3 linked regions of the Nothobranchius furzeri genome follow. The protein of the gene in region 1 interacts with the protein of each later gene in a pairwise test. Links are inferred from orthologs where the notes say so. Each region holds a gene or a part of one and is shown in the gene's direction. Other genes may lie near its edges.

Region 1 (7,877 bases):
CTGCGCCTAGAAATCATGTCCATAAAGGTTATGAACGGAATGGGTGACAAAGGGCAGCCTTGGCGGAGTCCAACTCTCACTGGGAACGAGCCCGACTTACTGCCGGTAATGCGGACCAAGCTCTGACACCGGTCATACAGGGACCTAACAGCCTGTATTAGAGGGCCTGGTACCCCATACTCCCGAAGGACCCCCACAGGGCCTCCCGAGGGACGCAGTCAAACGCCTTCTCCAAATCCACAAAACACATGTAGACTGGTTGGGCAAATTCCCACGCATCCTCCAGGACCCCCCTAAGGGTATAGAGCTGGTCCAGTGTTCCACGGCCAGAACGAAAACCACATTGCTCCTCCTGAATCTGAGGATCAACAATCCGACGGACCCTCCTCTCCAGAACCCCTGAATAGACCTTAGCAGGAAGGCTCAGGAGTGTGATCCTCCTGTAGTTGGAACACACCCTGCGGTCCCCATTTTTAAATAAGGGAACCACCACCCCAGTCTGCCAGTCCAGTGGAACTGCCCCCGATGTCCACACGATATCAGCCAACATAGCCCCACAACATCCAGAGCCTTAAGGAACTCGGAGCGGATCTCATCCACCCCTGGGGCCTTGCCACAGAGGAGCCTTTTAACCACCTCAGTGACCTCAGCACCAGAGATTTGAGAGCCCAACTCAAAGTCCCCAGACTCTGCTTCCTCGCTGGAAGACGTGTCGGTGGGATTGAGGAGGTCTTCGAAGTATTCTGCCCACTGATCCACAACGTCCTGAGTAGAGGTCAGCAGCACACCGTCCCCACTATAAATAGTGTTGGTAGTGCGCTGTTTTCAACCCCTGAGGCGCCGGATGGTGTACCAGAATCTCCTCGAAGCTGTACGGAAGTCTTGCTCCATGGTCTCACCGAACTCCTCCCACACCCGGGTTTTTGCCTTGGTGCCTGGTGTCCACCAGCGGGTTCGGGGGTTGCCACTACGACAGGCACCGACGATCCTGCGACCACAGCTCTAGTTGGCCGCCTTAACAATGGAAGCACGGAACAGGGTCCATTCAGACTCAAGGTCCCCCGCCTCCCCCGGAACATTTTGGAAGTTAGGAGGTGGGAATTGAAGCTCCTTCTGACAGGCGTTCCCAGCAGACCCTTGCAATACGTTTTGGCCTGCCTAGTCTTACCGGCATCCTCCCCCACCATCTGAGCCAACTCACCACCAGGTAGTGGTCAGTAGACAGCTCGGCCCCTCTCTTCACCCGAGTCAGATGAAACAACAACAAAGTCGATCATCGAGCTGCGGCCTAAGGTATCCTGTGCCAAGAGCACATATGGACACCTTTATGTCTGAACATGGTGTTCATTATGGACAATCCACAGAAGTCTAATAACAAAACACCACTCGAATTCAGATCAGGGGGGCTGTTCCTCCCAACCACACCTCTCCAGGTCTCACTGTCGTTGCCCACATGAGCGTTAAAGTCCCCCAGCAGAACGAGGGAGTCACCGGAAGGAGCACTCTCCAGCACCCCCTCCAAGGTCTCCAAAAAGGGTGGGTAGTCTAAACTGTAGTTTGGTGCATAAGCACAGACCACAGTCAGAACCCGTCCCCCCACACGTAGGCGGAGGGAGGCTACCCTCTCAGTCACCGGGGTAAACCCCAACGTACAGGCACCAAGATGGGGGCAACTAGTATGCCCACCCCTGCTCGGCGCCTCTCAGTGGGAGCAACTCCAGAGTGGTAGAGTGCCCAGCCCCTCTCAAGGAAACTGGTTCCAGAGCCAGAGCCATACGTTGAGGTGAGTCAGACTATAGCTAGTCGGAATCTCTCAACCTCACACACCAACTCAGGCTCCTTCCCCACCAGAGGTGACATTCCTTGTGCCAAGAGCCAGCTTCTGTAGCCGGGGATCAGACCGCCAAGGTCCCAGCCCTCGTCTGCCACCCGTCACACACTGCACCTGACCCCTTTGGCCCCTCCCACGAGTGGTGAGCCCATGGGAAGGGGAACCCACGTTTCCTCATCGGGCTGTGCCCGGCCGGGCTCCATGGGTGAAAACCCGGCCAGCAGGCGCTCGCCTACGTGGCCCACCTCTAGGCTTGGCTCCAGAGGGGGGCCCCAGTGACCCACGTCCGGGCGAGGGAACACGGTTTCCATTTATTTTATTCATCATAAGAGGTCTTTGGGCTGCTCTTTGTCCGATCCCTCACCTAGGACCTGTTTGCCATGGGTAACCCTACCAGAGGCATAAAGCCTCATTTAGCTCCTAGGATCATTGGGACACTCAAACCCCTCCACCACGGTAAGGTGGCAGCCCAGGGAGGAAGAGGGAACTACATTTATAAAATTTCAGTAGTTAGTACAAACACTTGCTGTAATTTTTTCTAAATAAAATGCATTTTTGTTAGTAGGTGAACTTGCTGTTTACTATTATTAAACCTTAAATTTTATATTAGCATAGGCCACATGTAAACCATAGTCTTACTAATTTACAAGACAGCTGTTCTGCAATGACAATAAATGTTTAATTGGTTTTTACCAGTTTTATCACTTTCTTGCTAGTATTTTTTTTTACATAGCAGAAAGAAGTTGGTGGCGGTAATGCACCATATCACCATTTGAAACCACCATTGAAAAGTCAAAGAAGAAGAATCAAAGTTATGACCGGAAGTTGTTTTTTTTTTCTAAGCCAGTCAGCTACACGCTGTTCAAGAAACCTGCAGCTCAGAAAAATTAGCCGTTTCCTCCTGGAGTCTTCAGGTAAACAAGTCTGTGTTAACCGTAGAGTCAGGGGAATGAGGTAACGTTTCGCGTCGCCATAGCTTTAGTAGTTTTCTGTTTTTTCTTTTATGGTACAAAGTAACACCGGTTGGGTGAAAGTAGTTCAAGACAATTTTAGCTGCGTGCGTAACTGCTAACGAGGGCTAGCCTGTGCCAGCTAATGTAATCTGGAAGCTAATGGAAACTGAAAATGGTCCGAAGTGAAAGTACACATTTGTTTTCCGTTTTGTACATAAACGCCATGTCTATGTATCCAGAAACGTGCTAATATTTTCGATTTTATGCGTGATTTTAAAGAACTTTATCGTCTGAACAGTTGGTGTATTTTATTGTCAAAGCCTTATTTAGACTCAGCGTTAGTTTCGTCTTTTATTCAAAGAGCTAAACATGAAAAATCAAGACACGGAAGAGTCTACCAGCCCGGGCAGCGAGGCTCCTCCACCTGCAGCTGGAGACACGGACGCTCCACTTCCACCTGCACCTGCTGAAGGCAGCAGCCCCAGAGAGATGGAGCCACAGGCTGGCCCTCCACCACAGGAACAGCAGGGGGAAAGCGGAGGTGAACTGCCTTTGGTTTGACTTTCTTACTCGTCCGTCACACTGTGTGAATTCTCAGTTTTAGAACAAATTAGATGAAACAGCACAAACCTAATTAATGGTTTGGTTGTCATCAGACTGAAGTGGAGAATCTTGTCAGTAATACCTGATGTCATCTGGTTTCAAGATTAACATACTAGAAGTCAAACTTTTATTGATGCAATCAAAGCTTTACTTGTACAATAAAATGGTCTTCATTCTTCACGTGTACTCAATCCATACATATCTAGATTATGTCATTTTTATTGTTATATGTCCTGATGCTGCCGACAAGTTATTTTATGCACTGATGTCATTAAACACAATCACACAGTTTAATAAACAAGAGTTTTTAAGGTTAAGAGATCCATAATAAATTAGTTTTGGGGTATTTTCTCATTACTGTAACGTTGTGTCAAGAACAAACTTACTTCAACATTTAAATAAAAGTAGGCCATCACGTCCTTGATGATATTGTGATAATTGTTTTAATGCCTCAAGTGCGATTCCTTTTAGAAGGCACATCATAAACAAATGAATCCCAACAGTTTTCCGCGTGACTGTGTGGGACACATACCATACCATACCATATTTATTTATTTATAAAGCACCATTTCAAAATAGCATGGCAGCTAACCAAAGTGCTGTACATAAAAAAAGCCAAATGCTTGACCAAGAACCACAATAAGAACAGGCAAAAAACATAAGAACAAAGCATAAATAGTCGGAGATAAAAATTCCTACTAAAAACCATAAAATAGAACAGTTAACAGCACTATAAAAATAAAATAATGCGACGAATAATAAAAACATTTGAAATGTCCCAAATAAACCGAAATAAAATACCAGATGGTGCGAGGTGCCAAAAGTGAGCAACTAAATCATAAAAATGGAATTAAAAACTCAAATCCGGTGCTAGATTGTCATGAAAAGTGTCACGGAGGCAAGGCAATGCTAAAGAAGTGCGTTTTCAGGGCCGACTTGAAACTGCTAACAGAGGGAGCCAGACGCACACGGAGGGGCAGGGAGTTCCAGAGTTTTGGGCTGAATAAGAGAAGGCACGCTCCCCCCGTGATTTGTACCAAACCTTCGGAACAACAAGCAGCAGATGATCTGCTGACCGAAGGGCACGGGTGGGAACATATGGGGTCAGCAGGTCCATCAGATAGGATGGGGATGGGCAGTACAAAGCCTTGTAAACATATAACAGGACCTTGAAGTTAATCCTAAATTAGACTGGGAGCCAGTGTAAATCTGCGAGGATGGGTGTGATGTGCATGCGTCTGTCGGTGTTGGTTAAAAATCTGGCCGCGGCATTTTGAACCTTCTGCAGTTTGCTTAAGGCTGAAGCATTAATCCCAATCAGGACAGAATTTGCGTAATCCAGACGTGAAGTAATGAAAGCATGAATGACTGACTCAAGATGCGGGCGTTTGAGGATTGACTTAAGACGAGTGATGCGGCGGAGTTGGAAAAAGCAGGACTTGACAGTAGCGTTGACTTGTGAAGACATTGAAAGGTCAGAGTCCAGTGTCACACCTAGGCTAGTGGCACCTGATTTGAGATTGAGTGGGAGAGTTGAGACATCTAAAGCACCATTCATGTTAGTGGGGCTAAAAAGTATGGCATCTGATTTGCTGTCATTTAACCGTAGGCAGTTTTGAGAAAGCCAGGATCTGACCTGGGAGAGGCATTCTGACATTATAGAAAATGAGTGCTGTTGGTTGATTTGAAGGTAGATCTGGCAATCATCTGCATAAAAGTGGTAGTTAACCCCGACGAGACTTGCTAAAATCTTACCAAGTGCTAGTATGTAAATTGAAAAGAGGAGAGGACCCAGGATGGAGCCCTGTGGTACTCCCCATGGAAGTGGGACATTGGGAGAAGAGCAGTCTCTAACATGAACACTAAAACACCGACCATTAAGGTACGACTTAAACCATTCCAGGGCAGTACCGGTCACACCCACCCAAAATTGGAGTCTGTGAAGTAGGATGCTGCGGTCAGGTCGAGTAAGAGTAACCGCACATGGGAGCCAGAGTCAGTCAGAATCAGGATGTCATTGAGTACCTGAATGTGTGCAGACTCTGTGCTGTAATTACGTCTAAAACCTGACTGGAATGGGTCAAGAAGCCCACTGTCATCTAGGTGAGAAGTAAGCTGCGTGAGAGCCAGTTTCTCAACTACTTTTGAGATGAATGGAAGTTTTGAGATTGGGCGATAACTGGCACAGTCAGACTGGTCAAGGCCTGGTTTCTTCAGTAGCGGCTGAACAACGGCATTTTTAAAAGCAGCTGGAAACACACCAGAGGAGAAGCTGGAATTGACACAACAGCAGGGGCCACCGCTGGAAGGACATCGCGCAGCAGTCTTGGAGGAAGGCTGTCCTCTGGAGAGCCTGAGGGCTTCATAGCCAAGATTAGATCAACCAGGGAAGAGGGTGTCACATGAGCAAAGCAAGAGAATGAGGGCGGACAGTGAGGTTCCACACAGGTAACCCAGCCTGAGTAAGAGAAGCTGTTCTAATTTCCTGGATTTTATGCAGGAAAAAGTTTTGAAACTCATTGCAAAGAGCCCCTGTAGAGGGACAAGAGTTGGGAGATTCTCTAAGCGATAGTACAGAGGTGAGGACACTGTACAGTTTCTTCTGGTCGTTTTTATGCCTAGTGATTATATTTGCAAAATATCTGTTTCTAGCTGTGCGGACAGCTTTCTGATAGCGGGTCAAAGGATCCTTGAATGACTGGTAGGAGATTTGCAGCTTGTCCTTCCGCCACCGGCGTTCGCAGACCCTACATTGGCGTCTTAGGGCACGAGTCTCCTCATTGAGCCAAGGGTCTGCCACAGTTTTTTATGCCTGGATCTTAGAGGAGCGACTGCATTTAAAACAGTTGAGCAGGTAGAGTTGAAAGAGGTCAGCAGCTCCTACACAGGTGGAATCAGGTTGGGAAGTGCATAGAGTCACAGCTAGGCTAGATGCTAGTAGATTGGTGGTGAAAAGGGGAAATTATTCTTGTGAGGTGTTGATTATGTTGCCTAGTGGATGGAGGTGTCAAGCCACAGATATTAAAAATAATAATAGAATGATCAGAGATACATGCAGAGTCAAAAGTCAGATCCGAGATACAGATCCCAAATGACAAAACCAAGTCTAAAACGTGCGATCCTGAATGGGTGGGTGACTGGACCTGTTGCTGGAGACCAAAACAATCTAAAATGTCTAAAAAGCCACCAACAAGAGGTTTGTCAGGGCAGCAAACATGTATATTAAAATCACCAAGCATAATCCCACGGTCATATTTTGGAAGAAAGTCTGTTAAAAGATCAGAAAATTCCGATAGAAAGTTGGAATTGTAGTTCGGTGGGCGACAGCAGAGAATAAACAGCAGCGGAGGACTGAAGTCCACCTCATAAGCCATAATAGTAAGTTTTTTAGTCACAAACTAAATCCCCTTTCATGCAACGTGTTCCAGGAAGTTTCTGAAATCCTATTTGAATGTTTTTCTGGTAGAAACTCTGCCTGGGTCAGCGTTAGCGCCCCCGGCTGCAGCAGCGCCCCTGTCCCAGCGCGACATGGCTGAGGAGCTGAGCCGGCAGCTGGAGGACATCCTCAGCACGTACTGCAGTGAAACCATTTCAGACGAAGCCAGTGCCTTGCTCAACGGTCAGTCTCACAGCCCAGTTTTCAACGGGCTGATGTGTGAGAAGGATGGAGACAACCCAAAGGCAGAAAAAGTCAACGGGGGTCACAGCGGTGCTGAGAAAGAGCAGAAGAAGAGTCAAGACAAGAAGAAAGTGAAGGGCCTGGGTGAGGAACTGAACTGTGTTAAATGTTCTGTAGGCCCGTTATTTTCCTTCACCTAACAGCTTCTGTTGTCTTGATCCAATCAGGCAAAGAGATCACCGTTCTCATGCAGACGTTAAACACGCTAAGCACGCCGGAGGAAAAGCTGGCAGGTCTCTGCAAGAAGTACGCCGACCTGGTGAGTACGCTTCTGTCCTGTGTGCGTCTCCGTGCTGCATTTCTGCTGTCAAGTGCAACTGACAGCAGGTTCACCACAACTTGTACCATCTTGTACGTGATCCTCGCTGTTCTAAAGGAAGAAGCCATGTTTGACCGCATGTGTAATGTTCTCAGCTGGAAGAGCATCGTAACTCTCAGAAACAGATGAGGGTGCTGCAGAAGAAGCAGAGTCAGCTGGTGCAGGAGAAGGACAACCTGAGGAACGAACACAGCAAAGCCATCTTGGCCCGCAGCAAACTGGAGAGTCTCTGCAGGGAACTGCAGAGACACAACCGCACCCTCAAGGTAGCGAGTGCTCCACCTCTGTGCAGGTGCAGCTGCTGCGTGTCATGTTTACGTTTTCATGTCTGCAGCAGCTTTTTAAGCATTCTTCCCTTTTTTAAGTTGGTTCTCACCTCTGCAGGAAGAAGGAGTCCAGAGAACGCGGCTGGAGGAGGAGAAACGGAAGGAGGTGACGTCTCATTTCCAGTCGACGCTGAACGACATCCAGGCTCAGATGGAACAGCACAAC
Region 2 (7,688 bases), on another chromosome or scaffold:
GTCTTCTCTCAGTTTGTTGTCTAGACCGTTGGCAAGGACCTGAATGACAAATCCAACATTTGCTGTTAGTTTATGTGAAAAAAATTTTTAAGAACAGTTAACACAGTTTAAAATAATGGTTTAACGATTTAGAGCCAAACTGACTCAGACTGCTGTCACTTGCCTGGCTGTATTTGCCATCCTTGACGTCCTTCTGCCTGTTCAGGAACCAGTCTGGGATTTTGTACTGGCGAGGGTTCTGCATGATGGTCACCACCCGCTCCACCTGGGAATTAAAACCAGTCAGTTTAGTTATTTTGTCTGGTAAAACATCAGGTTCAGCTACTAACCAACACAATTATCTTTCCAATTAACTCATTCACTGCCAATGACAACTAATGTCGTCACTTGCATGTTTACTTGTTTTTGCGTCTGAACGAGCCCCCACACCGTGAGAACAAACACCCCAGCTCTAAAGCCGATCATCTGCGTACGTCATATGTAATCAGGAAGCAGAAAACCCGTGTGTTAGGAGATCGTTTTGGGCCGCTGCTGGAAAAAAAGAAGTGAGGCGCGAACCAGAAAAGCTTCTGCCGATCACAATTTGACAACGGATTATGCTCAAAACGCACGGATTCTTCCCGATGCAAGAGGTGAGTCTTCTCTTTGTTTTATCAGTTTTGGAGTTGACATCATGGAGCGCAACGTTCAGCGAATCTTAAAATACAGTATAAAACGCTGAATAACACTGGCAGCGAAAGGCTTTACTGATCTGGAAACGGCTGGCGGCTGGCAGTGAATGAGTTAAGTTAGTTAGGTAGTTACAAAATCATGCAGTTTTTGTTCTGAAGCCAACAACATTTTAAAGAGAAAGATACCAAGTTAAAAGTTGTTAGAAATCCTGCATATTTGGATTTGTTGGTTGATAAAATCACTGCAAAGTTCACTTACTAACAATCAAACATTGAAATTAACAATGTAGTCATCCCTCTCCTTTTTAAACTACCAGGAACCCACTGGTTCGGTTTTGAGCAAGTTCAGAGCCGATTTCACAAGTAAAACAAAAAAATAAATAAAATACACAAAAAGGTGTACATATTTAGACCATTTTTTTTTTCAGAAATCAGTTTATCTCAATGCTTTAGCAGAGGTTTCCTGTGAACATCCAATCTTCATGCTGGAACACAAACATGGTTGTACACAAACTCTCCTCTAGTCAAGACACCTAAACGGCACCGACAACAGCAGCAGTAACAACTTTTACTTTAAACGACTGCAAACTACCCAGCTGTTTGTGACGAAAACTACTTCTGATCTCTCAAACCTTCACAGCACCACCACAGCCGATTTCCCCTCCACCATCTAAAAACTTGCTCTCCTGGAAGCAATTTTTTAAATGCACCACGGTTTTAGAATTGCAGAAACGGTGCAGGTTTTCTGTTCTCACCTCCTCCTCAGTCAGCTCTCCAGCCCTTTTGTTGAGGTCAATGTCGGCCTTCCTCAGGACTACATGGGCATAACGTCTGCCAACACCCTTAAACCAGACAGAATCCAGTCTCAATGGTAAAAATCAGGCAACACAAACATTGAGTCTATTAACAAGAAATTTAAGTGGTATTACGAGACATAACATACCTTGATGGCAGTGATGGCGAAGGCAATCTTCCTCCTACCATCAATGTTCGTGTTGAGAACACGAAGAATGTGCTGGAACTTCTCAGGGATGACCAGAGACTGAAAACAGCACAAGTAAAACAACAACGATCAAAAACAGTTTTAACATTCTGTACAGACCCAGTACTCCACTAAAATAACTAAAATAAACCATTAATACACTCATCTTTACAAACAGGCAACGAACTCAGTATGTTTAACAAAGCTGCTCAAGGAAAATAACTAGTCTACTGCAACTGTCATGCTTTTGGCTCCTTTGAGGCTCATTAGTATGGCTAGCTAAGCGCTAGTAGCTTTGAAAAATCCCTAAAACGTATAAGGATTACAGAACATAGGGGAAAATAACATAGCTTATTTGAGCTTTAACTGCTCCATTATACGTATAATTATGTTAAACAAAAATCAACTTGCGCTACTCCGCTTCTACCGGTCCCCACTGTCTGCTAGCATTGATGGCAAGTTACGTTGAAATAAGTCAAAATCAACAGACATAACATCAGCCATATCACTAGAACCAACCCATACAAGCTGCATATAAATTATACCGTGTTTATAAACAATGAACAAACAAGCACAACGAAGGATGAACGTGGATTTCAAATCTACTCTGGTTTAAGATATACCATACTGACCATCTTGGAAGTAGGTTCCGTGCAAAGAGGAAGGCGCTTGTTTCTCGCGAGATTTTGGATCAGTTTTTGCCGGAAAATGATCCTTCATTTAAAAATGTCCGATAAGCAACTGGGTTTGCTAAACAAGTACATAAATTGCTAAAATACGTGATGCTAAAAAAATGTTTGATATCGTTATTGTACGTATTTATATCAAGCGACCTGAAATTTGAGATCACGTTTTTTTATTTCAAAACAGAATAAACATTTCGAGCTTCAGTAAGCGGAACTTTCGTTTGTTGTGCTTACGTTAGCATAAATTTCGCAGCCATGGCGGATGCTGTTTTGGGTTTTGTTGGAGCTGGTTCTGATGTAAATACAGGAGGAAACTCAACACAAAATGTCATGGCGTACCTACAAGACGAGGTGACATTTCATTATTATTAGTAGTGCGGGTCTGATTTGAAGAAACAACGTATTCAGCTCGTTAAAGTCTGTTGACAACTAATCATTTGATGAATCGTCATGAACCATGTCCCTTATCTCAAATGTTATTAATTTCTTTATCAATCTTCACCTGTAATTTGCTATAAATCTAAAGTTTGTCAAGTTTGTATGTGTAAGGTCTTAACCAGGAAATACAGTACCCATTAATTGTATGAAACTGTCGCATTTTGATAAAAATTAAAGTTATATTTATAAGAAACAGGAAAAGCAACTTTATTATGAGCTATGTTCATGAATATCTTGTATATTTTCTCGTTTCCAGTTTTTTTCAATCAGATTGTTGTGCAAAACAAAAAATCTTATGTAATAAAATAAATAGAAGTTGGAGTCCCCTCTCAAGTATTTGAATTTATTTTTATTATATGTGTGATTCTGTTTGTTTCTTTTTGCAGAAGACCGATGGAGACATCACCAACCTGAGCCTGGGAGAGCTGGACATCACCACCGATGAGTTCATCTTAGATGAAGTGGACAGTAAGGGCGCAGTTGCACTCAAGCTTTACTCATACACATCTGTTTTAGAACTTTCATGTCTGCTACTTCCCATCTAGCCTTGGGTTTCTGCAATATTCTTTTTTATTTTATTTTATTTTTTCATTTTTATTCTTTTATAGTTCATATTCAGGCCAACCTGGAAGATGATCTTGTGAAGGAGGCACTCAAAACGGTAAGTCCTGTCATGTCAGTTAATTGTACTTCACTACCAATCCATGAACGATTTGCTGTCACATTTCCTATGATATACTACTAATATGCGTCCTCTTCTGTTCATTTCTAGGGTGTTGACCTCCGTCAGTATTCCAAGCAAGTGGAGGTGGAGCTGCGGAAGATTGAACAGGCATCAATCAAAGACTGTATCCTTCACAGCTCATAATTTACATGTCTTGATATTTTATCTGTCCTCACAGAGCTTCCTGCTTTTTCTTTATGTATGTGTCTGAGTGGCAGGGTCCCTCTTCACATGCAGTTTTTATTTTATCCAACATATTCAAAGTCATACTCAAATGTTTGTTTACATTCTGAGGTTAAAAAGTTGTTTTAAAGAAATAATTTGATGGAAGTCAGTCATACTTGCATGCTATTTTCTGCAGCCAGAAACCTAAATGAACTCATTCTATGTGGTTTCCCTGAACCTTCGCCTCGTAGACATTAAGGAGAGTCAGAACATTGCTTCTCTGCACAACCAGATTACAGCCTGTGACTCTATTTTAGAGGTGAGGCAGGATTTCTTCATACTTTACCCTCAGAAACGTTTGGCTCCACTGTCCAGAAAAACCTAAATCGGGGTAAGTAATGTTTTTTTCCCCCCTTTCAGCGTATGGAGGGGATGCTGAGCGGCTTCCAGAGCGACCTGTCCTCCATCAGCAGCGAGATCCAGACCCTGCAGCAGCAGTCTGTCAGCATGAATGTCCGTCTGAAGAACAGGCAGGCCGTTCGCAGCCACCTGAGCCAGCTGGTGGATGAACTGGTGGTGCCTGGAGCCATGATCTCGTACGTTTAACAGCTTCTGATTATTTGTAACAATGCTGTAGGAAATGTCACGTGTTGATGTCTTGTTGCTGAAGCTTTTTGGATCGTTCCAGCACCATCCTGGAAAGCCCGGTGACGGAGCAGGAGTTCCTTGAGCAGCTTCACGAGCTTAACTCCAAAATCAACTTTGCAAAAGAGCTGAGCTTCAGGGAGACGCTGGCCTGCTCCGACATCCAGGACATCGTTGATCGCCTCAAAGTCAAGGTGAATCACAGAAACCGCTGTTGGAATTAACAATAATAATAATAATAATAATCACTGAAGGGTCACAGAAGTTCATGTTCTGAGTTTAAATGACACTAGAATCACTTTTCCTTCCTTAGGCAGTGTCAAAGATCAGAGAGTTTATTCTACAGAAGATCTACTCCTTTAGAAAACCGATGACCAACTATCAGATCCCACAAAACACTTTGCTAAAATACAGGTGAGCCTTCGGTAAATGGAACGTTTTGTGGACCGTTTAGTTCCTGACGCAGTTTGACGTGGATTAAATCCATTAAAAGTTTCTAATTCCAGCCTAACCTTTGGAATTTGGAAGGAACTGTGAACACGTTTTTATATTTCTAATTTGTGAAATTAAAAAAAGATTCAACCAGAATTACATTATTGCCTGTTTTTGTTCTGTTGTAGATTTTTTTATCAGTTCCTTTTGGCCAATGAGAGAACCGTTGCTAAGGAGATCAGAGATGAGTATGTAGACACCATGAGCAAGATTTACTACAGTTACTTTAAGTCCTACAGCAGCAGACTTCTCAAAGTTCAGGTCGGTGGTTTAGTATTCACATTTTCCGTTTAGTTGAAAGTATTTTGTGTTTTATGTGACCCGATGTTCTTTGTCCTGCTGCAGTATGAGGAGGTAGCCGATAAAGATGACCTGATGGGGGTGGAGGACACCGCCAAGAAAGATATCCTTTAAAGCTCCTGTTTGCCTCTTCATCCATGACCTGATGATGTCACTTGTTTATGTTAAACAAAACAAAAATGTAAATGAATAAAAAACAGCATCCAGCGAGACAGGAGAGCAGTCAGGTCATGTGACCTACCGACATCTGAGAGTTTGAGGCTCCTTGACTCTCAGCTCCAGGTTTCTTCTCCAAACCGTCTTTGAAGAGCAGGAATACCATCTTCACGTTGGGCCAGAGGGGGGCCATACTGAGTCCTGCAGAGCTGGAGGGGCCCATCCTGGTTCCGCACACGGCTCAGAGGGGAGACAGCAGAGTAAGACGTGCACACGTTTAAAAAAGTTTAAATAAAATGCCCAGAGTCTCGGTTAGAGATCGATTTGATGGTCTGGTGTGATTAACTCATTCACTGCCAATGACGACTGAAGTCGTCATTTGCATTTTTTTACTGTGCGGGCATCGGATCGAGCCCCCGCACCGTGAGAACAAACATCTCGGCTCTAAAGCCGATCTTCGTCCGCATGCGTCACACGTCACATGATCAGGAAGCAGAAAGTCCATGTGTTAGGAGATCGTTTTGGGTCGCTGCTGTAACAAAAAGTGAGGCGCGAACCATAAAAGCTTCTGCCGATCACAATTCGACAACGGATTATGAAAGAATGGATAACGCTCGAAACACGCGGATTCTTTCTGATGTAAGAGGTGAGTCTCCGCTTTGTTTTGGTTGTTTTGGCGTCGACATCATCCTAGCACGCAACGTTTTGTGACTCTTAAAAAAAACTGTAAAAACGGTGAGAAACGCTGGCAGCGAATGAGTTAAAGAGTAAGAAGAAAGAAATATAAATTAGTGATGGGACTCGATTAATTTTTTTTATCTAATTAATCTTGATTAATCACATTTTAATCATTCAAGACAGTTTGCGCCCAAGTAATTTTTTTGAATACTTTCTGGTCCCCAATTGGGGGACGCTCGGGCTCAAAGGGTAAAATTTAAACGCTTTATTTATTTATTTATTTATTTTTTCCAAATGAAATAATCGTAATTAACACATTAAATTTCCTTCCCTGATCTAAATATCTGTAACTCTAACTGGATTGTAATCATTAGTTGTGTAATCGTGTGTGTTCCAGTATCCCTACGAGACACTGTTTCGTAGCCAGCATTACGCTTTGCTGGACAACGGCTGCAGAGAATTCCTCTTCCTGTCCGACTTCTTCATGGTGATCGGAAACTCCGCCTTCGATCTCTTCAACAGCATCATGGGAAAAACGCTCGGAATGTTCCTGGTGGGAACGCTTCCCTTTGAGCATCATTTTTAAGCACGCGAGTGACCTCAAACATAACCTCTGTCCCATCCCGTCCACGTGTCTCCGTCTCTACAGAAAAGCATGTCCACCTACGTGTCCGACTGCTACGACAGCATCGCCATCTTCCTCTGCATCCACATCATCCTCCGCTTCAGAGCCATCACCACGAAGAGGACCATACCTGCTCTGGACAAGTCAGTGTCTCATGAAAGACGACAAACCAAGACATTATTAGACGAGCACAGATAGACAGGAACTTTGTTTTTCTTCACATAAGTGTTGGAATGACAACATTTACTAGCCTGGCAAGCCAGACTAAATAAATGTATTATTTAGTCTGGCCATGCTCCATTGACGGCTCTCGGTTGTGGGGCGGGTTCTACCGTTGTCTTTCAAATGATCTCCACATTCCACTGGACAATGAATGTGACATACTCGTTTCACTCTGTTGCATCATCCCACCCACCAGGCACAGAGAGTGCCCTGATTGGCCCACAAAGCAGATAAAGCTCTGTGATTTGTTCACTAAGCAAATAGAGCACTATGATTGGCCCACCATTATGGACCAATCACAGCTCTTTGTGTGTTTGAAACCCCTCTGGAGAGCTGTGATTGGCCAGCCAGAGTCCTGGTAGGAGCTGCGGAGGTTCCAATGGAGCATGCCTAGACCAAACTTTGCAAAGCAAGAATTTGGTCTAGTTCACTGAAATCCACCTCTTACAGCTGTTTTTGTGATTTTAATTTCCAACTTGATCACAAACGATTTTAAATTGAAAGTATTTGAACCTTCAGCAACAGGACTGATAAAGAAAGAGGAATCCAGACTCATCAGCTGAGCTCCAGTGACGGAAAAACTGCTAAATTGAGTACATATTGTAAAAAAGACTCATTCATAGCTGTAGATCATTGCTTCTGTAGCAGGAGCCTCCTGATTGGTTATCTGTGTGTGTGTGTGTGTGTGTGTGTGTGTGTGTGTGTGTGTGTGTGTGTGTGTGTGTGTGTGTGTGTGTGTGTGTGTGTGTGTGTGTGTGTGTGTGTGTGTGTGTGTGTGTGTGTGTGTGTGTCAGATACTGGGATGCTGTACTGGAGCTGCTGTGGCCGAGGTTTGAACTCATTCTGGAGATGAACATCCAGAGCATCAGAAACACCGATCCTCAGAAGCTGGGAGTTCTGGACA
Region 3 (7,688 bases), on another chromosome or scaffold:
ATAGAGCAGAATAAAGCGGTTTCTATGACGACAGTGACTCCTCTCCGGACCGGATGCCATTTTCCAGGCCTCTCACAGCCCCACACATCTCCAAACTAAAGTGACTGACGCAGTTTCCAGCCCTGCTCTGGACAGACAGCTTGAACGGGTTTCCCTTTCTCTTAATCTTGTTACAGTGGGTGGATTGTTAAAGCTCAAGTGCACGAAAAGCCTGAAAACGTTTGGAGACAGGATATGTGTAATTGAAGGACAAATAAACCTCTTAAAACAGACAGGAATAGAACAAGGTAGAACACAGAGTGATTTAGTAATCCAGACAGTAAGAGGGTCACTTAATCCAGTTATTGTCTTTTTCCTCATTATTTATTAGAAATAACACAATGAATGTTTGGTTTTCATTGTTCAAATTGTACCGAGTTAGCTGAGGTCAGCAATAACAAGTATAGGTTATAGTATTGTACGTGTAACAATTACCTCAAGGTAGAATCAACCATCTGAAATCCCGTCTACGTGTATCTAGTAATTAAATCTATTTGTTAAGTGGGTCATGTTTATGAAGACAAAATGCTCTTTAATTGTGTATGTGGGGCTGCCAACTTTAGCAGAACTCTAGGCGGGGAATTTGATTTTATTGATTTATTTGTTTGTTAATTTTAAGGAGGCATGAAGTCGGTACTGAGGGGGCATTTTAAAAAGCATTAGGTTTGTCAGAGATGACAGAGTACATAACTCTGTGTGATGTGAGTTGGCTCATTTAGGACTTTTATTGGGGCGATGGTGGCAGAAGGGTTAAGAACCCACCCAGTGGGCTGCAGGTTCAAAGCCCACTCAGTATGTCGCTACCATCGTGTCCTTGGGCAAGACATTTCACCTTTCTTGCCTGCTGGCGTTGGTCAGAGGGACAGGTGGAGCCTGTGCTTGGCACCCTTTGCTTCATCAGTGATCCCCAGGGCAGCTGTGTGTGTGTGTGTGTGTGTGTGTGTGTGTGTGTGTGTGTGTGTGTGTGTGTGCGTGTGTGTGTGTGTGTGTGTGTGTGTGTGTGTGTGTGTGTGTGTGTGTGTGTGTGTGTGTGTGTCCTAAATTAAACACCAGGTGTGCACAAATGTTATCAAATCTATGTATTGTATTTTTTTTCATTAGTTCAATTTGAGTTTTTTATGGTTTAAACAGTAGGAATTGTAATCTTGCACGATAATAGTTAAAGCTTTTATTTTCTTAAATGTGTGTCATGTTAAATAATTGTATTGTTTAGAGCAGGGGTGTCAAATATGCGGCCCACGGGCCGCATCCGGCCCGCAAGCGGGTTAAATCTGGCCCGCGAGATGGTTGTGTAAACTTTATTTTCATACTTTACAATGTAGAGTGAAAATAAACTTATCTTTGTGAGCAAGTTTCCTCTGTAATGAGTATAAATAAAACAAAGCTGCGCTCAAGGCTCACACAAGAACTTGAATCACATCCTGAAGTTGGCCGCCACTCAGGATGGGACTTCTGATATTGATGTTCTGGTGAAAGCTAAACGATGTTAAGTAAAATGAGTCAAATATACTTTAAGTGCTGCATGAAACTGATCTAGCCATGTGATCTGTAAGCTCTTTGAATCACTAAGGAATGTATTTTTATTTGTTGATTTTTTTAATTTTTTCAAATTTTCAAGTACACTTCAGGTGTTGTACTTGTACTACACTGTCCTCAGGCTCCAGCCTTGTTTTATATTGATTGTATTAAAACAAAGAAAACAATCTGAAGTTTTTTTTTTATTTACCGGTCCGGCCCACTTGGGACTAGATTTCCCTCAATGTGGCCCCTGAGCTAAAATGAGTTTGACACCCCTGGTGTAGAGAGCTTTAGAGTTCTCTACAAATATATATATACACCTTGTTATCATGGGAAGTCGCACATTCAGCAGATCTGCTCCCTCCCTATGGAATACATTACCAGCTGATTTCAGAAATACCGCTACACTTCAAGGCCAAACTCAAAACTCACCTGTTCAAGATTGCATATTCCCCTATCTGTATTTTATCTGTTTTATCATGGTTTTAAATTGACTAGTTTTTATTGTCCTTGTGCTTGTTGGAATGTTTTATTCTTTTTATTGTACAATGACCTTGAGTTTTTTGAAAAGCACTTCAAAGAAAATGTATTATTATTATTATTATATTGAAGAAACGTTTTGTTGTATTTTACATGTGTAAATAATGACATCATAATACATATTTTTTCTTCCACAAAACAATGTAACTATTAGAAATGTTCATTGTTACCATGAGCTACTTTAACTGCGGTCAGTATGCAGTATGTATTAAAATGTAGCCAATATAAACCCTGTAAAGCAATATATAATGAAATTTCAAAATAATTGTAAAATATATATTTTTTTATTTTAAATCTTCAAATAAATATTTATGTTAACTGCAGCTTCTGTGGAGATCATCCGGAAACTGTTGCTCACGGCTCCAACATATTAGCAAGTTTTAAAACGACTGCGTAAACTCTTTTGCCCTGAACAAAAGTGTTTTACGTTTTATATGATCGTTTACTATTATTATAATGTTACATTAACAGAAATGCATGCACATTTTTGTCATGAATTTACTTAGCATACGCACTTTGAAGTCATTTTTATTATCTATTTATTATAAAGATTTGTTATGGCCCTTTAAATTCTACTTCCGGTACGGCTTCGTAATCCTTCCGACAACTACTTTAATTATTCTTTGTTCCGACCTCAGTGAAGCTAACATGGCAGCGGAGGGAGACGTCGACTTGGACCTCGAAGCCGAGGAAAACTGCACTGGAAAGCCGGTTGAAAAGCCTCGGAAACATGACAGCGGAGCTGCGGATTTGGAGAGAGTCACGGACTACGCGGAGGAGAAGGAAATCTCCAGCTCTGATTTAGAAACGGTGAGACCTGTGGCTAACGGCTCCCCCGGAAACATGCGGCCGCTGATGCGTTCACTGTCAAGAGTTAAAGACCTAAATAATTACAAATAACGGTTTGTTTCCTGTATAAATGAACATTTTTGTCATTTTATGTTTTCTCTGTGTTCTGATTGAACACAGAAAAAACATTTTATTTCATTATTTTATATTTATTTCTATGATAATTTGAAGTAGAAGTTTGTGTATATGGGGTAGGCATAAAAAGCTAGAGACAGCAGGCGAAGCTTCATCTTCAGCTTTTGGTTATTCTACTTGCAATCTTTGTATTATTGTGTTTTTCCGTTTCCTAACTTTAAAATAACCAAATAAATAAACTTGGTAGAACAGATTGATACTAATTGATTTAGGTAGCTATCTTGAGAGTTAGCTAAACACTCATCTGAGTGGAAGAGGGGTAAAATTAATTCAAATTTCATCCAGTATGTGCCCAAGCATGAAACTATAACTCAAACTGTTCAAAACATCAAGTCAAACATGTTTAAGGCAACTATTTGACAATATTTTAGGCAATGCTGACATATAAGGTTCAGAATAACTCATTGGAAAAAAATATTTTGAATTGTTAAAACTGTAGTTTAGCTGAGAGCTGACACTATTGACTGATCACAAGTGGAAAGTGTTTGCATTGGAGCATACAGGTCAGATGTGTGTTAACACACGGTCTAGGAAGAAAAAGCACTAAAATGATGCCCCAGCAGAAGTAAATGCTGCTAGTCATCATGACATGACATGATGATCAACTATCCATCATTCTACAGAAAACCATCAAAGATAAGGTTGTAAAGGTAACAGGTCCCAGAGGGAAGGCCAGACTTCTCTTTCCCCAACTGATCTTCAGCTTGTCCTGTGGCCTAGTTCAGGAGAAAACCTCTATAAAAATAATGCATCACAGCTTAGCTTAGTGAAGTTTCATCTGAACAAACGGCGTTCTGGAACAATGTTCTTTAGACAGATGAAACCCAAGTGGATTTATTTACCCTTAACTCACAGCAGCCTGTGTGGAAGGAAACACTGTTGGCATGAAGATGAAGGGCTAATGATATTTTGAAATGTACATTGTGTGTACCTTTTTTTTTTTCCTGATTTAATAAAGTCTTGGAAACAAAATGATATTTATTTATGTAGGCAGCAAATGTTTGTACCATCAGTGCTGTTTTAAACAAATACAGGAAATGGAACTAAAATGAGGTTTTGTATGTTTCTCAAAAGGTAATTACAAAACTTATGACAATGTTTTACACATTTTTGCAGGCCATGTCTGTGATCGGAGACCGAAGGTCACGAGAACAGAAAGCCAAACAGGAGAGGTAAGATGAGTTCAAGACCTCTGACTCTGTTAGGTTTAGAAAAGTATTTTCCAAACTAAACGGTAAATGAGACTGAGAACATGTTATTTTGCTGCTTTTCCAGAGAGAAGGAGCTGGCGAAGGTCACCATTAAGAAAGAAGATGTGGAGCTGATTGTAAGTTTTTGCTGTTTTTAAATGTTGTACAGAATAATATTAAACATCGATCCACACATGATACTGAAACAAGATGAATGTAATGGTTAGTGCTTCAGAGTATTTAAGCTTGTTCCATGGGTATGTTCCATGTGTTTTTTAAAGGCTTACGAGTTTGATATTTTAGGTGACTTCTGATTTAAGCTGGTTCAAACCTTTAATTTGTTCTGATCTCTGTGCAGATGTGTGAAATGGAAATCTCGCGCACCGTGGCAGAGCGCAGCCTGAGGGAACACATGGGGAACGTGGTGGAGGCTCTGGTGGCTCTGACCAACTGAACACACATTAACACACCGGACTGTTTTCCTCAATGAGCAGTTTTAACTGTTGTTTCAATCAACTCCATCGTTTTTGTATTTTAGTTTTAAATAAAGGTTCGTTGTTTATTTGTGTCCGTGTGTAAAATAACTGAAAACATCTTTAATTGAAACATCACGGTTTCATACAAAATGGGCGAGGAACCCACAAACTGATCATCACAATAAGGTTATTTACAGAGTTCCACACAAGCTGCAGGTTTCAGCTGGCTGTCTACTTTTGTCCAGGAAATGTTTCAGCTGCAACCTTAAATTTCTAAACAGGTTTGGATCCTTTTGGTTAAAACATCAAAGCAGAATCATTTTGTTGCTTTTTCCCCAACAAAGTCCACAAGAACACAAGTAGCATCCTCAGTCTCTTCACTGGAAAGAGGCGTCTTATGCCTTCCTCTTCTTCACCGTGGGTCGGTCAAACACGTCCCTCACGCCTGCTGCCTTCTGCTTAAAGAACTTGCTGTTCTGAGTGCTCTCCTGGGCCCACGCAGAGTCGAATGACGTGGTGTCCTGGTCCACCAGGTGGGTGTACTTTGTGCGTCCTGACCGACCAAAGTTTTTGACCTAATGGGAAGAAAATAAGTTACAATTGTGGGGATGTCACCTTAATGTGCACAAAAAGTGTCATTTCTACCACGTTCACACCAGTGACACACACAAAGGCTACATGTACAGCGGGACTGAAGCACATTTAGATGACAAGCTAGTTCAAAGGTCATGAGAAATTCAATCTTTTTTCCAAAGATGAACTTTCAAACCCCACCTGTGGTCCAAAAAAACAGCAGGGATGCATGACATATCGGCATCAATATCTATGTTTTACATATCGGTATCGGTCTGATAAGGACAACTGGACCGATATTAACTGAATATATATAAAAAGAAAGACGTCCAAAATTTCTGCTTACATAACTTTAAGTCTCCATAAAATCTGCTGACTTCAGAAGCATAAATGTCAGCCTGTATATGTCGCATCGACAAATATCGATTATCAGCCATAACAATATCGACATCAGCCCAAAGTTTCATTTCGTTGCACCCCAAGACGAAAGGGTCTCACCTGCATGACTTTGGGTAGGATGGTTTTGTTGAAGTGATCCTCCAGTGTAGGAGCGCTGAAGTCTCTCTTGTAAACATCCTCCTCCTCATCCTAACACACAAAAACCACACAATAAATCCCTACACGTATAACCTGTTGGTGACCCATCACAAACGATCACCTCCTTCAGAATCTGGTGGGATTTCCTGTCATTTACAGACATCTAAATAATAAAGGTGTTATAAGAAAGGGTACGCCGTTTTTATCACACAATAATTGTCAAAGAAAAGACACTGCAGCTGTAAATGAAGATTTTAGGAAAATCTCTTGGTTGTCTTAAAAATTTGCTTTTTTATGAATCCTGGTGACAATCCCGTGAAAAGGACTCTTGTGTCTGCTGGGACTCACCATGAAGAAGGCTCCTCTGTGGTAGTATTTCTGCAAGAACTTGTATTTGCCTTTGGAGGCTTTGTTGGTGACGACTTTGCCGCTGTTGCGTAGCTCCGCCCTGCGTTCCTCTTCCGTCATATTGTGGAATCTGTCAATTTCACCCTTCTCTCTCTCCATTCTGACAACAAAACACCACAAATGACCGTCCTGAAGAGAACTGCATCACTCTTTCACCATAAATCCTTTGGAATCCTGCAGTTTACTTACGCTTCCCGGGCCTCTCGGTCTCTCTTGATGCGTTTCAGCTCTCGGACCTTCCAGGCTTCATATTCCTCCTCTTCATTCTCCCCGTCAGTGTCCAGAGCTTCCAGTGCAGCCAGCGAGCGCCGGTTCTCTTCAAACTCCTTCTTAGCCTCCTCCTCAACAATCTTGAGGGTGTAGCGCCGCCGATCCTCTGCCTGCCTCTTGGCCTCGGCCTCCAGCTCTCGCTGCTTCAGCTCCTCGGCTTCGCGCTCTGCCACAGTGACTCTGTCCTTTCTGCAGTGCAAAAAAAAAACATTTGAGCTAGTGTTCTGAATCTGGAATTTTTATTGAAACATTTTTAGTTTAGTTCTCACTTGCGAATAAAAACAGGCTTAAGTCTCGGCTCTGCTTCATCCTCACTGTCTGTGTACTCCTCATATTCTGACTCCGACTCAGACTCCTCTCCTGACTTCCCCTCCTCCTCCACCTCCATCACTTCCATCTCTTCATTTTTCCTCTCCATTGCACGCTGGCGCATCATTGCTCGCCTCCTCTCAATTTCCTGGTCACAAGCACGATGAGCAAATTAATAATTTGTTCAAAATGCAACAAAAAAGTTAAAAGGATTTTATTTTTTTGGTGCACAATTGCTACCTCATCATCCACTTCTTCCTCCTCTTCCTCCTCCTCCTCCTCTTCATCGTCGCTGCTCTCCTGATGCTCAGGGTGCCATGTGCCTTCATCAGAGTCCTCACTGCTCTCAGCAACAACTTCAGGCTCTACGATCTGTCTGTGTCTTGCGAGCCTGAGCACAAACAAACGGGAAACATTTTGACTCAAAATGTTGACAGAATTTGAGTTTAATCAGAAAAACTGAGTGATACCTCTCCTCCACGTCCTCAGAAGTTCGATTGAGCAAACGTTTGAGACGTGGGTCATTCACATCTTCTTCCTGCTGCTCTACCTCCAGCTCCATTTCCACTCCCTTTTTAGCAAACTTGAATTCCTCCTCCTCTTCATCTGACGACTCCATGGGGGCATAGTCTGGACGTTTACCTGACACATACCTCTTCACCTTCACCTTCTCCATGGAGATCTCACCTACATTGTGTACAGAAAAGGGCATGATTATATACACTTCCTCAAGCTTAGTACAAGAGTATTTAAACAGGAAAAAACACTCAACCATAAAAAACGTAAAACAATATGTTGCAGATTTATTTAAATTAAATCAGACAGATACAGCATACCCCTCGCC

Evidence for each region.
Region 2: the proteins of txlna (region 1) and vps52 interact in binary tests that used the Homo sapiens proteins (3 or more experiments, as listed by UniProt). The two-hybrid records come from large-scale screens. The link is inferred for Nothobranchius furzeri from reciprocal best matches to the Homo sapiens genes TXLNA and VPS52.
Region 3: the proteins of txlna (region 1) and hypk interact in binary tests that used the Homo sapiens proteins (3 or more experiments, as listed by UniProt). The two-hybrid records come from large-scale screens. The link is inferred for Nothobranchius furzeri from reciprocal best matches to the Homo sapiens genes TXLNA and HYPK.

Annotation. Positions count from the first base shown.
Region 1 is NC_091751.1:3,229,519-3,237,395, forward strand, and holds the start of txlna (alpha-taxilin), read left to right. Parts: upstream 1-2,632; 5' UTR 2,633-2,645; coding exon 2,646-2,745; intron 2,746-3,145; coding exon 3,146-3,325; intron 3,326-6,853; coding exon 6,854-7,150; intron 7,151-7,233; coding exon 7,234-7,325; intron 7,326-7,480; coding exon 7,481-7,651; intron 7,652-7,769; coding exon 7,770-7,877. UniProt on the Homo sapiens protein: May be involved in intracellular vesicle traffic and potentially in calcium-dependent exocytosis in neuroendocrine cells.
Region 2 is NC_091759.1:11,201,143-11,208,830, forward strand, and holds the start of vps52 (vacuolar protein sorting-associated protein 52 homolog), read left to right. Parts: upstream 1-2,517; 5' UTR 2,518-2,594; coding exon 2,595-2,690; intron 2,691-3,163; coding exon 3,164-3,245; intron 3,246-3,385; coding exon 3,386-3,438; intron 3,439-3,549; coding exon 3,550-3,625; intron 3,626-3,917; coding exon 3,918-3,985; intron 3,986-4,086; coding exon 4,087-4,262; intron 4,263-4,354; coding exon 4,355-4,505; intron 4,506-4,624; coding exon 4,625-4,725; intron 4,726-4,931; coding exon 4,932-5,064; intron 5,065-5,148; coding exon 5,149-5,204; intron 5,205-5,383; coding exon 5,384-5,519; intron 5,520-6,334; coding exon 6,335-6,490; intron 6,491-6,586; coding exon 6,587-6,705; intron 6,706-7,456; exon of another isoform or gene 7,457-7,578; coding exon 7,579-7,688. Other genes in the region: rps18 (small ribosomal subunit protein uS13), read right to left, coding at 1-39, 164-265, 1,427-1,513, 1,615-1,713, 2,286-2,288. UniProt on the Homo sapiens protein: Acts as a component of the GARP complex that is involved in retrograde transport from early and late endosomes to the trans-Golgi network (TGN).
Region 3 is NC_091749.1:30,006,138-30,013,825, reverse strand, and holds hypk (huntingtin-interacting protein K), read left to right. Parts: upstream 1-2,700; 5' UTR 2,701-2,745; coding exon 2,746-2,907; intron 2,908-4,197; coding exon 4,198-4,253; intron 4,254-4,356; coding exon 4,357-4,408; intron 4,409-4,629; coding exon 4,630-4,725; 3' UTR 4,726-4,833; downstream 4,834-7,688. Other genes in the region: mfap1 (microfibrillar-associated protein 1), read right to left, coding at 5,143-5,322, 5,819-5,908, 6,206-6,365, 6,455-6,724, 6,805-6,992, 7,085-7,235, 7,315-7,531. UniProt on the Homo sapiens protein: Component of several N-terminal acetyltransferase complexes. Inhibits the N-terminal acetylation activity of the N-terminal acetyltransferase NAA10-NAA15 complex (also called the NatA complex).